2 linked regions of the Caenorhabditis elegans genome follow. The protein of the gene in region 2 purifies or fractionates together with the protein of the main gene of each other region. This does not show direct contact. Each region holds a gene or a part of one and is shown on either strand. Other genes may lie near its edges.

Evidence for each region.
Region 1: the proteins of evl-14 (region 2) and him-1 fractionate together in Caenorhabditis elegans (co-fractionation; one large-scale study listed by BioGRID). This does not show direct contact.

The regions. Positions count from the first base shown.
Region 1 is NC_003279.8:4,951,474-4,960,081, forward strand, and holds him-1 (Structural maintenance of chromosomes protein 1), read right to left. Parts: upstream 6,195-8,608; 5' UTR 6,188-6,194; coding exon 5,966-6,187; intron 5,917-5,965; coding exon 5,335-5,916; intron 5,086-5,334; coding exon 4,177-5,085; intron 4,125-4,176; coding exon 3,775-4,124; intron 3,718-3,774; coding exon 3,498-3,717; intron 3,311-3,497; coding exon 3,029-3,310; intron 2,932-3,028; coding exon 2,583-2,931; intron 2,448-2,582; coding exon 2,326-2,447; intron 2,045-2,325; coding exon 1,838-2,044; intron 1,141-1,837; coding exon 817-1,140; intron 559-816; coding exon 337-558; 3' UTR 98-336; downstream 1-97. Other genes in the region: mzt-1 (Mitotic spindle organiZing protein (MOZART) homolog), read right to left, coding at 6,384-6,491, 6,537-6,604, 6,654-6,681; enu-3.3 (ENhancer of Uncoordination), read left to right, coding at 8,019-8,078, 8,137-8,484, 8,599-8,608. UniProt on the Caenorhabditis elegans protein: Involved in chromosome cohesion during cell cycle and in DNA repair. Required for chromosome segregation during mitosis. Central component of cohesin complex. The cohesin complex is required for the cohesion of sister chromatids after DNA replication.
Region 2 is NC_003281.10:4,309,685-4,314,991, forward strand, and holds the start of evl-14 (Cnd1 domain-containing protein), read right to left. Parts: upstream 3,445-5,307; 5' UTR 3,441-3,444; coding exon 3,357-3,440; intron 3,204-3,356; coding exon 2,991-3,203; intron 2,942-2,990; coding exon 2,849-2,941; intron 2,802-2,848; coding exon 2,475-2,801; intron 1,947-2,474; coding exon 1,695-1,946; intron 1,641-1,694; coding exon 1,522-1,640; intron 1,465-1,521; coding exon 1,367-1,464; intron 1,194-1,366; coding exon 1,048-1,193; intron 995-1,047; coding exon 651-994; intron 18-650; coding exon 1-17. Other genes in the region: dcn-1 (Defective in cullin neddylation protein 1), read left to right, coding at 4,264-4,296, 5,122-5,280.

The DNA.
Region 1 (8,608 bases), on a different chromosome or scaffold from region 2:
GGTTAAACCTGGAAATATTAGAGAAATTAGATGAAAAATATAATAAACAGGAATTGAATAAGGTTGTCAACCCAGATTGGCTCGAGTTAGAATAAAAAGGTTACAGAGAGTTTCATTCAATAAGTTTGTAGAATTAATATAACGTCAATTGGGAACATAAAAACAGTAATGTATAAGAGAGAAGAGGGAAAAACGTTTGAGACCTTTAAATGCGGGGAACTGTGTGACTGAGTGAATCGGTTTTTGATAATTAAGAAATAATGAGGGGTAAGGGAATAGTAATAATGAAATTATACAGATGATTTGATAGTCGCGGTTGTCAAAAATTTATATAATTTATGTTGCAATCGATGGTGTTGGTGGATTTTCAGTCATTTCATTGAGACCAATTTGTTTGAAGCGCGTCAAATCGAAAGTGAGAACACCAGATGTTGTACAAGCGGCTGGATATGGGAAGATTCCGATGAGTGAGTCAGCTTTGTTGTAGAACTCTTCTTTGAGAGAAATGACGATAATTTGCATATGCTCACGAGCTGATTCACAGATGTACGAAGCGACCTGAAATTACAAAAAAAACGTTACAATCTTTTCTCGCAGGTTATACTAAAGGCGGAGTAAAATCGTTTTGAAATTTTGCTTAAAAGTTTGATAGTTTGATAGTTTTTTAGATCAACTATCAAAAATATGCAGAAAAACCGGAGGATTTACCCTTATTTTATAATTTTTGTGTTTTACAACAGTAATATTCGGTCATTACAGTCATTTTTCTATCTTTTGAAGCAAAATTTAATTTTAATGAACAGTTTAAATAAATACCTTTCCAATATTAGTATTATCCAAAGCAGCATCAATCTCGTCGAGAACGAAAAACGGAGCAGGATTACGTCCGTGAACTGCAAAAAGCAGTGCCAACGCGGCAATTGTCTTTTCTCCTCCAGACAAGTTATCCATCGGACGGAAACGTTTTCCAGGAGCTACACAATTGTACTGGATACCATCCAGATAGGGCTCTTCCATGTTATCAGCTCCGAGGAAGGCTTGAGCAGAAGTATTTCGTGAGAGTTGCTTGTAAATGTCATCGATAGTGTTGGCCACAGGATCGAAGAAATCTTGGAAGCGTCGGTAGCGATCGGTTTTTACCTGAAAAAAACAATATTTTAAAATCGATAAAATATATGAGAAAAGTGAAATTGAAGAGGTGTGAGAGATAGAGGGGACAGATTGAGTGACAATATGGGTACAACTGTTGTCATTTTAAAGTTATGAATGTCTATGTCTCTTATCTCTAATGTTTTTGTCACTTGGTGTCCAGAAGGTGCACATTTTCATTTCAAGGAATTTCAAGAATATTCTTATTTTCAGTATAGGAAAATTATCGCAAAAAAATTATTTTAATGAAGCGGTTTTTTTTTCGGTGATTCAAACATGTTGGTTCAACGTTTTTAATTTAAAAAATGTCAAAATGTAAAAAATCACCCGATATCTGTGAAAATAACATTTTTTGAGTACTTTATCAAATCTTTTGACTGAAATAAATGTTCTTTTCAGATAAATCAAGAGATTTTCTATACTTTGAAAAAATAACTGATGCCCACTCCTGATTTGAATCCATTTTTGACATTTAAAAAATAATGCATTTTGTAGGTTTTAAATATATATTTTTTAGCTAATTTTCTAGTTTTTATCTAGTCAAGGAATTTTTTTTATTTTGGCCCACAAAATTATGTGTAAAATCTAAATTTTTCAATGTCTAAAATGGATTCGAAGCTCTCCTAAACTTTCATTTTTATCGATACATTTTCAGATACTAAACGTTTGGAATTTCTTAATAACTAACCTTCTCGAACTGTTGCCGAATTCTCTTCGCCTTCTTTCGAGCATTTTCAAGTTCTTCAGTCGACTCGGCTTCTCGTTCTTTCACCTCTGCCATTCTCTGATTGGCTTTCAAATTCGGCGCATTCATTTTTGACACATTTTTCTGCAGTTCATCGATTTCCACATTGAGTCGATTCGACATTTGCCGTACACCATCATCGTCATCCACCTGTAATGCAAATCGTGTGAATCTAGAAATGAACTAAAACACGGAGGGGGGCAGGGCGGGGCGGGGTTGGCAAAAGAGCAAATAATTTTTGATCAGCAACCATCACTAACAGGACTGCTGGTTTTTTTTAAACCGAAAAAGTAGATTTTTTTCGTATTTTGTTTGGCTCAAAAATCGAAAAAATTTAGGGTCAAAATAGTTCAGAAAAAATAAATAAATTTTTGTTGCCAGTATTTTTTCGGTTTGCTCAGAAAACCGAAACATGTCTTGGCAGCACTAACATCTTTATATTCTCGCGGTAACGAGTCGTAGTTGATTTTGATGTGTTGCTCTCGTTGAATTTGCTCCTCTGATACACTTGGACCATCGGTGGCTGATTGAGAAGACTGAGAAGCTGTGTCATCTGAAATTAATTGGAACTTGAAAGGAAACAGGGAGACAAAAATTATGAAATATATATCTAAAAGCTGAAAACTGAATTATGGAAAAGTGAAAATGCGATTTTTTCAAAACATCAAAATCAAAATAAATATCCAACCTCCATCATCTTCCTCATATTCAACGTCAGCCATACTTCCTGATTTGAGTGGTAACGCAATTTGCCCAAGCTTCACAGAATGAAGAAGAGAGTGCCGTTCATATTGCTTCTTAGTAAGCAAACTTTCAAGACGAAGAAGCTCTTTTTCAGCCTTTGTAAAGTCTTTCATCGCAACTTGTGCAATTTTTTTGACCTCATTCCACTCGGTTTCCAATTTATGTGATAAGGCCTTCTTCTCTTCCAGCACTTCCTTGTCTTGCTCCATGGATTCCGTGTGCTCTTTCAAAGCGGCCGCCGCCGTTTTCTCTTTTTTCTTCATGTCCTTATATTGTCGGTCGATTTGTGAAACCTGTAATAAAAATATTTCAAATAAGGTAAACAAAACAATTTTAAGAATCTTAAAGAAACTGATAAGGAGTTTCTTTACAAAAAAATGAAAAACGTACTTTCTCCTTTTCAACTTCAACTTTCCGATTGCCATCTTGCTCGGTGACAAAGTCAATTTCGTAGGCCAACTTTTGGATATCATCGTCAAATGATCGAAGCTTGTCTTCCATTTCTTGCTTGATACGCATTTCACGATTCTCATAGTCACGAATCGATGCGATTCCAACACGAGTACAGAAATCAGCGAAAATTCGATCAGCCACTTCATTGCTCTTCGTTTGCAGAGATTTTAAAGTACTTTCACTGCGTTCAAGTTTTTCTTGACAATTCGAGATTCGCGGCTGAAAATATATCAATTTTTGCAGATTACAAATTTAAAAGGAGGTCTAATGGCTCCAAAATTTGCTCCAAAATAAATAAATTTTTGAAAGATTTTTGAGAATTTTCATTACGAAATTCGTTAAGTTGAGCACTTTTTGGGGTTATAATTTTTTTTTTCCAGAACCGTTGGTCACTAAAAATAATCACCGGAAGCATATTCATCTCCGCGGTCATGCCTTCAAGCTCATTTTGAAGTCTTTCCAACTGCATTTCTCGCATATTCTTCAGATCTCGCTTCATCATTGCCAATCTTTGCTCATTTCCATTAATCTTGGAGCGTACACTTTCCACTTCGAGTTCACGACGACGATGTTTCTGAAGATCCGCGATTTTTTCGTTCAGTTGGTTCCGCTTTTCTCGGAGTTGTCTGGAAAAATATTAATGTTTTTTTTTCAATTTAATAAAAAATAAAATAAAAACTCACTTGACAACTTTCTCGTCCCATTTCTTGGACTTTTGTCTCAAATCAGCAGAACCTCCGGACATAACTCCAGATTGTTGGAACAGAGTTCCGTCCATCGAAACTGCCTTGAAACGATCTTTCAGCTCTCCTCCACCGTATGCAAGCTGCTTAGCATCTTCTTGACTCTCACAAACTAATGCGTTTCCACAAACGAATTGAAGAGCTTTTCTAGCTGCTTGATGTTGAGGATTGATGACATCGAAGACGAGCTTCACTCCAGCTGGCTTTTTGATTTCACGAAGTTTTTCATTTAGTGGATTAACAACTAGTGCATCATTTGGAAGGAAGGTTTCTGGGGGATAACGGTGATCCTGGAAATTAGTTATTATGAATTGAAATTTTGGAAGTGAAAAAAGAACAAACCTTCAGATAAACAATTGCCTTGGCAGCAGTCTCTTCAGTATCACAAACAATACTGTTCATATGCTTCTGAAGAATCTTTGTGGTGGCAATGTTGAACCGTTTATGAGACGGTTGACAGAGATCGACAAGTCTACCATACACACTCTCCGGGAAATTCTTTTTCAATCCTTCAAGTGCCTCCGTTCTTCTTTGATTTCTTTCTCCTTCTGCAGAATCTCCAGAAGCTTCGGAGAGTTGACGAACGACAGCTACAAGCTCTTTGTTGTATTCCGCTGCTGCTGATTTATCAATAACAACGTCATTTTCAATCTTCTTAAGATCAGCTTTCAAGATCTTTGTCTCTTCTTCAGTTTCCTTGATTCTTTGAGCAAGAGTTGCAATTTGAGTTTCAATTCTTCGCACATCACCTTCCTTCGCTTTAACTCTTTCTTGATGCTCCTTTTGGCGTCGAAGCTCATGATTTAGAGAACTCTTATCACCTTCGAACACTTGTTCGGCCATCAATAGCTCTCTTTGAACCATTGCTGATTCTCGCTGAGCTTGATCTTTCAGCTGTCCGTACTCACGTACTTGTTCATCCGAAAGATTTAACTCGCCTCTTTGCATCATATCCTGAATCTCTGCTTCATATGCGGCCTTCTTCTTTTCTAGCTCTTTTTTGCTTTTCTTCAAATCCGCCAGCTGAGTCGAGTTGTTCTCTGCCTTACTTTCTGCAGCGGCAAGCATCTTCTTCGCAATTTCCAGCTTCTTGTGCTCGTGAGCAACGGAAACTTTCAATGTCAGCATATTTTGTTGCTTTTCAGCCAAATCCGTCTCTTTCTGATCGAGTTTTCTTGTCATCTTCTGAACCTCGCGGAGAGCTTTCCGGTGCTCCTGATGAACCGCAGCGATTTTCGCTTCTTCTTTCGACTGTAATATATAATTTTGATTATTTTTATATACTATAAATCAATCAATCAAAATTTTACGATAAAATATTGAACAATATTAGCTTCACCGGAAAATAACTTTTGTATAACTTGGAAGAACTGCTTTTTAAGTTGTTCCAAGTTAAATAAGTAATTTTCAGATAAAGAAAATATTTTTCTAAAGTTTATCACAAAATATGAATGAAAAATATTGGAAGAACGTCATTTAGTAGAATTGCCTTCATCATACCCTAGTTGCTTCGAGACTTGCAATCGTCTTTTTCTGAGCGTTGATCTCCTCTTTTGATTCGTCGATCGTCCGTTCGCAATGGAACAATTGATGGAGAAATAGCATCGTCGATTTTGCAGCCAGCTCATTCTTCATGGTTTGATACTTTTCAGCTTCATCTTTCTCCATTTTTGCCTCACGTTTCTCTTGAGCGATTCCTCGTCTCTTGTTCATATTGTGTTGAGTATCATCTTCAGCTTTTGTCATCTCAACTTTCAATCTTTCATACTCTGCTTGAAACTCGTGTGATCGTGAGAGCTCCTCGAAGAGTTGAGTACGTTCTTTTGGAGTTTTCATGGCAATATTTTCGATAGCTCCCTGATATACCAGAAAGTTTCTTGCCTTGATGAAGATATTGATACTTTCCATTTCTTGTGAATATGCTGCACTTGTGACAGTTTGACCATCAAGAAGATGTTCAGATGTTCCATTATTGACGCCTCTGGTGAATGCCTTGACTTTTCCGTCAGAATATTTGTAGTTCATAGTGACACGACATTTCTTAGCAACTGGCTTGTTAATTGGTGCACCATGAATCAAATCCTAAACATTATTGATTAAAATCTTCTATATTTTATACTTTTTCTCTTACCGCATACTTTCTAACACGCAAACTGCTTGGCTTCTCTCCGAGCACGAACGAAATTGCGTCCATAAGATTTGATTTTCCTGAACCATTTGGTCCAATGATAGCTGTGAATCTTGTAAAGGGTCCAATAGTATGTTTTCCCTTGTAAGATTTGAAGTTTTCGATCTCGAGTGTGTGGAGAGTTCCTTTGCCTGGAAAACTATCCAGCGAGCTTCCGCCACGCATTATTAGTCTGAAGAATTAAGTAAAAAGTTATAGTTGAACAAGAATAAGAATGGTGAGGTAATTTTTGGTAGATAAACCAATATCATACATGGAATAAATAAAAATAGATAATAATGAGAAACCAGTTTAGTTTATTTTAAAAAAAGTGAATATACATTATGACCAGGTTTGCCGATAATTTGAGGAGCTGATTAAATCATGACAATGCATTTTCCCGATTGCTTGGTGAACTCTGTGTGCTGGGAGTTCCAAGGTTTTGAATAAGACGGACAAGGTTCAACGGTGAAACGCCCAGTGATAGTAACTGAAATAAGTGAATAAAATACTGGGAAAATCGATAAAATCTCACCCTCTCCACTGACGAAACCTGCTCAGCTGTGAGGAAAACATTTAGAAATTTTCCCATTTCAACAATGCCTGTAAATGTAAAAACATTATCGATTTATATTGAAAAAATTCAACTTACGCTGGGTGTGTTTCTTTGGGTCGCTCATAATCGATAAAATAACGGGGAGATAAGTGAAATTGATGATCCTTAAATAGAAAAATATAATTTCAATCCGTTGTTGTCAGAAATAACAATAATAAAGCATAAATTATCGAAAAATCACTTAGTATCGTTAGATGAACAGGTTCAAATTTGAAATGTGAGGACGCTAAACGAAACGCATAAATGTTACTGCGGAGTGTCGTAGTGTTGTTTTTGGAGGAATATTAAAATGAATTTCTTGCAATATTTCGTGATAAAGATGGTACAAAAGGTAATAAAAACAATAAGAAGTTAGTATTGAAAAGTTAAAGATTATTAGAGAAAAAACAACAGAGAATGTTGTAAAAGAGCATTCCTAATGCCACGCTGATTCAAAAACTCTGAGTTAGTACGCGGAACTTGCTGAGAACATCAATAAAAAATACAATTTTCAATAAGAAAACAACTATTTACATAAAGCAACAGATCGAAGAGAAGTAGTTAAATTCGTCAAACCTAGTGTAAATTTTTGTTTTTTTTTGCATGGTAGAGTCAATTTTTTATTTTTCTGATAGTACTAAATTAAAAAAAACAACGAAATATGTGAAGGAAATCGCAATGAATTGAAAAATTTCTCTGAAAGGCTGCCGTAAATATACATTTAAAGGGACACAGACTCAGTCGTTCGGGTCTCGCGGCGATTTTGGAAGTCACGTTTGAGGCCCCACGAAAAGGGGAGCAGAACGAAAAGGGGATCTGCGAAAAGGGGAGATACGAAAAGGGGAGATACGAAAAGGGGAGCAACGAAAAGGGGATCTGGCTGTGCCAAACGCTATTTTTCTCGAAGAAAACGATACAACGATGCTCCGATGTTACGCGTCGCGTGTTGTTAAGCGTATCTTCTAGAAGAAAATTTCAAAAATCAACGTGCGTTGCGTGAGAAAAATTGCGTTTTGTGCGTTTGGCACAGTGCCAGCTCCCCTTTTCGTTGCTCCCCTTTTCGTATCTCCCCTTTTCGTATCTCCCCTTTTCGCAGATCCCCTTTTTGCAGATCGCCTTTTCGTTCTGCTCCCCTTTTCGTGGGGCCTCCCAAAACAGGATGCAGTGACGGGACCTTTTCGCAACCACCGCACACTTTTTTCGCAAGCCTCGCACGTTTTTCTTTTGAAAAAATGCAACAATATCATGGAAAAAACGTGCGAGGCTTGCGAAAAGAGTGTGCGGTGGTTGCGAAATAGGCCCCGCCCCTACTCACGCGTGGCCACGTGGCACACGTGGCACACGTAGCGATTGAAATAAACAAATTATAACTTAAATTAGTTTGTGAAATCGGTTTCTCTCCGACACACGCGTCACACAAAAATGCGTATTTTGCGTATTTTGTTTTCATTGGTAATCTTCGGATTAATAGTTCATGTATTGGTGAGTTTTTTAGACATCCTTCGATTTTTCTAGACCATAATGTTTCACCATTTTTCAGCCAACAACCACCACACCAAATGTGCCTGTTTCCGCCGCTACGAACACTTCAAACGTGACCGCTCCTGCCGGCAATTCGACAAAAAGTCCTAATGCGACCGCTCCTGCCGGCAATTCGACGAAAAATGTAAACGTGACCGCTCCTGCCGCCAATACGACGCAGCTTGCTCTTGTGAGCTCGGCGAGCCCTCAAACCTGCAAAAATGGAAACGGCACACACTGCCCGTCATGTGCATACACGATCAATGTTCACAAGGACACGCCGAAGTACATCGGATATGGCATCCTGATCGCCTTCGTCATTTTCCACATTTTTTTGTATTTCTACCTCGAGGATCAGAAGGCGAGGGTAAGTGAAATTTTGCCAGTGGCCTAGCTTTTTATTGATTTAAGTTATATTTAATGAAAAGCGAATTGCGTACTCCACGTGGACAACTTTCAACATACGAAACCTTCTTTTCAGGAGCAGAAGA
Region 2 (5,307 bases):
TTATGTCTCCGAATAACCTAAAAAAACGAATTTTTCGTAAAAAATTGAGTATTGTGAATGGGGATTGTGTTCAGCTATAAAAAGACTTAAATTTAAATTTAAAAAAAAGAAATTCCCCAATTTTCTTTGAAAGACTGAATTTTTTGCGATACATTTTTCGATTTTCATTTGTTTTCTGGAATTTTCTGGTTATTTTTTTTTCAAACTTTTCACATTTCCCTACAGAAAATAACCTTTTAAGGTTAAAAATAAAAATTTTATTGGTAAATTGAGAAATTCACAACACTTTTCGGTCATTTTTCCGTAAAAAAAAGTTTCAAAAATTCAAAAAAAATTTTTTAACTAAATATATAATATAAATAACTAGAAAATATCTTTAAATGTTGGCAATTTTTCTTTTTTTTTTTAGAATAAAATTTAATGTTTTCTTATGTTTTTTTCTCATCGAGATAAACAAAATTTGATGAAATATTGATTTTTTCGGATAATAGAAAAATCGAAAACTTCCTTCTTTAGGCAATTCAAAATTAATTCGGATTAGTTTTTGCAACAAAAAAAATCCCGTAAAAACCCATTTTTTCACTGTTAGAATTATTTTCGATAGTTTTAGAACGAAATTTTTTTTAGAAATTCTAAAAATATCAACGTACATGCATCCAATATCATCAAGATTTCTGAATAAATCCGCCATTAATCGAACTCTCAATTTTGGTTCAACTTTGTACGGAACAAGATATAATTGGAAATATCTTTCGATAATTGCTCTTGCATCGTGATAAGCTGGCAATCTTTGTGTCAATCTATAAACATTAAAAACTGCCGTTGAAATGAATCGAACTGATTCTTTTTCTGATTCAGTATATGATAATGTCGCTTCTTTTGAATCTTTTGGTGCACAACTTCCATCTTTTGAGAAAAATGGTTGAGGTGATGACGTCATCACATGATTATAAAGATCCATTAGACGTTTGATCGCTTGAATTCGGACTTTTGGCTGGAATTTTTAGGGTTTTCGCTTTTTTAATTAGATTTTTTAATATAAAAAACCTTTTTATCCTTCATCCGCTCGGCACAGGCCTTTAGCATTTTATCACTAATAACTTCTAATTTCGTTTTTGCCACTTCAGTAACTCCAGTTACAACATCTCGTCGAATATCGTCATTTAAATCAACGGAGAGACGTAGCAGGCTATCTGAAAATGGGGATTTTACTTTAGAAAAATTCAAAATTTTCTTGAATTTGGAAAATTTCACTAAAAAACATGAAAAAACATTTTTTAAAAAACCAACTTTCAAAACCGTGAAAATTCAATTTTAGCTTTTATCCAATATGAGAAAAAATAGTTTTTATTTCACGAAAACCTACTAATAATCTGTCCCCTGAGATGTGAATGATTCGAAATTAGAATATCTTTCGATTGTTGCACAAATTCGTGTCGAACACTATCATCTTGATCGATAGACCTGAAAAAAATCACAAAAAATTCGACAAAATAATTTAATTACAATTAAAAAACTAACGCATTCAAAAAAGCACTCCATGTTGGATCATTTGAATCCATTCCGAATTGACAATGTTTGTCACGTGTCAACATTCCAACGACTGTCACTGCTTCTTTTCGGTACTGCTCATTTTCTGACTGAAAAATGATTTGATGAGTACTCTACTAAGTTCCTTTTTTCAATTGTCCTACCTGAAGCCAAAATTTGAGTTCTTGAATAGCGCCAGACACCAAATCAAATGATACGTAGTGAAGATAACGGAGTACTTCAAAGAATTTACTTCGATTACTGGAACCAGTTAACTCGAATTCTTCTGGAAGTTTCCCTTCTTTTGCGGCTGCTGTCATTGTACTTCGAATGGAATTTGCTAAAGTGTCTGACTCATTATCACTGCAGGATCGGATGATATCTTCTGCCAGTGCACGTGCTTCTGCGAAATTGCTCTGAAATTGAAGTTTTTTGTTGGAAATATATTCTGAAAGGGTATTCTATAAGAGAATTTTTCATACTTTTCTCATAGTTTTGCATTAAAATTTTTTTTCCAAAAACTTTAAATAACGGTTTTTGAAAAATCATTCAATAATTGCAATAAATTCTAAATTCAGTTACAACCTTAAATTACGCCGTTATTTTCGTGTCGTAGTGATTAAAAGATGGTATTTTTTATGAAATTAATTGTACATTTCGCAAGTTTTTGTCGTTTATTCCTTCTGTTTTTGTTGATTCACGCACTTTTCGATCAGACGGAATCCATAATTTGAAAATTTTGAAAAAAATTTTCTTGTAGACATGAAAATATGCAAATCAACAAAATAAGCATTAGAATAAACGACAAAATACGCGGAATAGGGAAAAAAAATGATTTTTTAAAATTTTCGGCCGATTTCAAGGGACATATTCATAAATTTAAATATTCTGGGGCTATTTTTTGTTTTCAACGCTAATTCCCTATTTAATTCCACAAAACTTACTCTCTGTGGATTAATAATATGATAAAACAAAACATCAAGGCACTCGTTCTGAACAAAATCCAAATTAGTAATCACTGTCGTTGCAATTTGAATTAAAGATTTCCGAATTTTTTCGGCGGCATTCTCATCTTCTTCGTCATCATTCATTGAATCATCGTCATTTTCTTGAATTTTCAAAAGTCGCGCTTCTTTTTTCAGATTCTGATTCCATCCTTTTCCACACGGAATCGCCAGAATATCCTTGATCAACGCTCGGAACACCGGAGTTGCTTCTTTATCATCGTGATCCTTCATTTCGATGATTGGTGGAATGATTTTCTCCATTGTCTGAATATAAATAATTATTTTTTGGTGCTAGAATTTCTACAGCAAACCTCAACCAACGAGAAGTAATTTTTAAACTTCGGACTATCCTGAGTAACGTCTCCGAGTCCTCGCATGGTACGGAAAAGGTAGATATAAACCTCCTGAAACAGAAAATTTCATTAAAAATCAATAATTTACTTGAATTCTAACCTTTAAATCCATTACACTTGGCGTCGGTAGCTCTGGCTGGAAGATTCGCAGAATATTCGCGAGACAAAGTGAAAGAAGGATCCGAAAATCTGTATTTGAATTGTCAAGGAAGCATTCTTGTGATAAATGTTGGAAAAGCCTTGCGAATCGATTCGGAGACGATACTTCTTCGCTATTGTTTGTTTTGCAGTCATGGAGACAGTTAAATAGTTTCTGAAAATTATATATTTTTTTAAATAATGTTTAATCATTTCTTTTAACGTTCTTTTCATCAAAAAATAATTCATTTCTCATATTCAACTTCTTTAAAGGCATCAATTTAGATTCAAAATAAGTTGTTTTTTTGTTGAAATTTCTGAAACTCACTCGTAAGCGTTCAATTTGTTGTGTCACATTATTTGAGTTAAGAATTGGAAGACATCCTTGCGGGTAATCCACATCACCGCTCATTTTACTGAAATTGGAAGCAAAAATTCAATAAAAATTGTCGAAAAAATGGAGAAAATGGAGAAATAGAAAAGAAATTAAATTGAAAATAGTGTGAGATACTGTATTAAAGGAGCATGGGCAGTGGGAACAAACGGGTCTCGCCGAGATTTAAATGTTTCAAGCGCGCGCCAAAATTTGTTTCAAATGCTTTTTCACGCTTTCTCTCAATTTTGTATAATTATTTAAATGTTCCGCTTTTCTCAATTAAAATTGTCATGTTTTAAATTGTATATACATATTAAAATATGTAAAAAACTTTGCAATCATTGAAAATAATACAAATTCAATAAAACTTCACTTTCTGTTACAGAAAAATGTTTTTTAAATGAGCGATGCTGTAGTAAATATTATCTCTAATATATTCCTTTTCAATGGAATTCAAAATTATGTTGATTTTCTTCAGTTTTCTTTTCGAGAGACGCCGACGTTAATCGAAATCAATACGACACTCCGTTTCCCGCTAAACAAAGTGTATGACGTCACATCTGCATTACATTGCAGCGTTTTCTCGTGGTTTCCTCTATCGCTCACCATTTTATAGTTTTTCCCGTATTTTTCTATTGATTCGTTAATCGACCGCGTTGTTGTTCGTTTCTTCTTCCTTCCCTCTTCTCTTTGCGTTATTAAATTGCTTTATTTTTTGAAATTATTAACTGCATTGCTTATCAGTTTTGTTTCGAAAAGTTGTATCTTTTTTGTCGTTTAACAATTTCGAAATTACGCAGATTTAATTTTAAAATCACTAAAACAATGAATTTTCCAGGCTAACCACTACGTCTACACAATGAATCGACTGAAGTCCGATCAAAAAACAAAGGTTTGTAAACGGAAACAAGACGATGAAGTGGAGATGAGTGATATGGAAACTGATCACAAAAAGTGTAGAAAACAAGAAAACAGTAAATTTGTGCGTGTGAAAATTCCATTCGTCATCCATTCCCGTTTTTCTCTTTTTCAGCATTTATCTCGAGCAAGTTCGAGTTCTCTAGCTCAAAGCACTGTTCTTTCTGACATTTTTCCCAAGAACTACGATAATATCGTGAGTTGTAGCGGGAATTTCGAAAAAAAAACTAATTTTGCCACATCTTGCTGCTTCGTTTGTTATTTCTTGACTAGACAAATTCTAGCTCATCTAGAAAGCTGACTTTTCTCAAAATCGTTGCGAGACCCAAAGCAGAAAAATGTATCTTTTTTAAATCTACGTGGAAACGCGCTCCAATATTAAATTTCGAGGTTTTCCCGCCAAATACCTAACGAGACCCAACTTTGGCGAGCAGAGCGTTTTGCCCGCGATTTTCCTGCGTCTCTTCAAACAATCTAATCACTGCTGCTGGTTTATGAAATATCAATTTTCCTCATTTTTTAAAGCTGAGCAATGTTTTCGCTCAATCCTAAAATTTTTAGTAGTTCTAATTGTGATCAACGGTTTCCCATTTCCGATCGAAGTCACTTTTTAAATTCTCACTTTTATTGATTTTTTTCGTTTTGAAATTCCTGATTTCTTCCTTTTTAGTGATAAGACATCAGTTGCTGACTGTAGAGAAAGTGTGAGAAACTGTTAGTGAGAGAGAGAAAACAGTTTGAGAAAATGAAAAATGTTTTAAATAATGATATCATAATTATTATTTGATACCATTTCCAGCTCCGGCAGTTCGTCCAGTGGACTCAGGTCACGGAAGCTGTGTCTCTCAACTTCCTGGCAAAAGCTAATTGGAATATCGAATACGCGATGACTCTGTATTTCGACAATCCTAATCTTTTTGCTGGATCGACACCACAGCCGAGCGTTGATAGGTCCAATGTACGGCAATTGCTGACTTTGGCAACT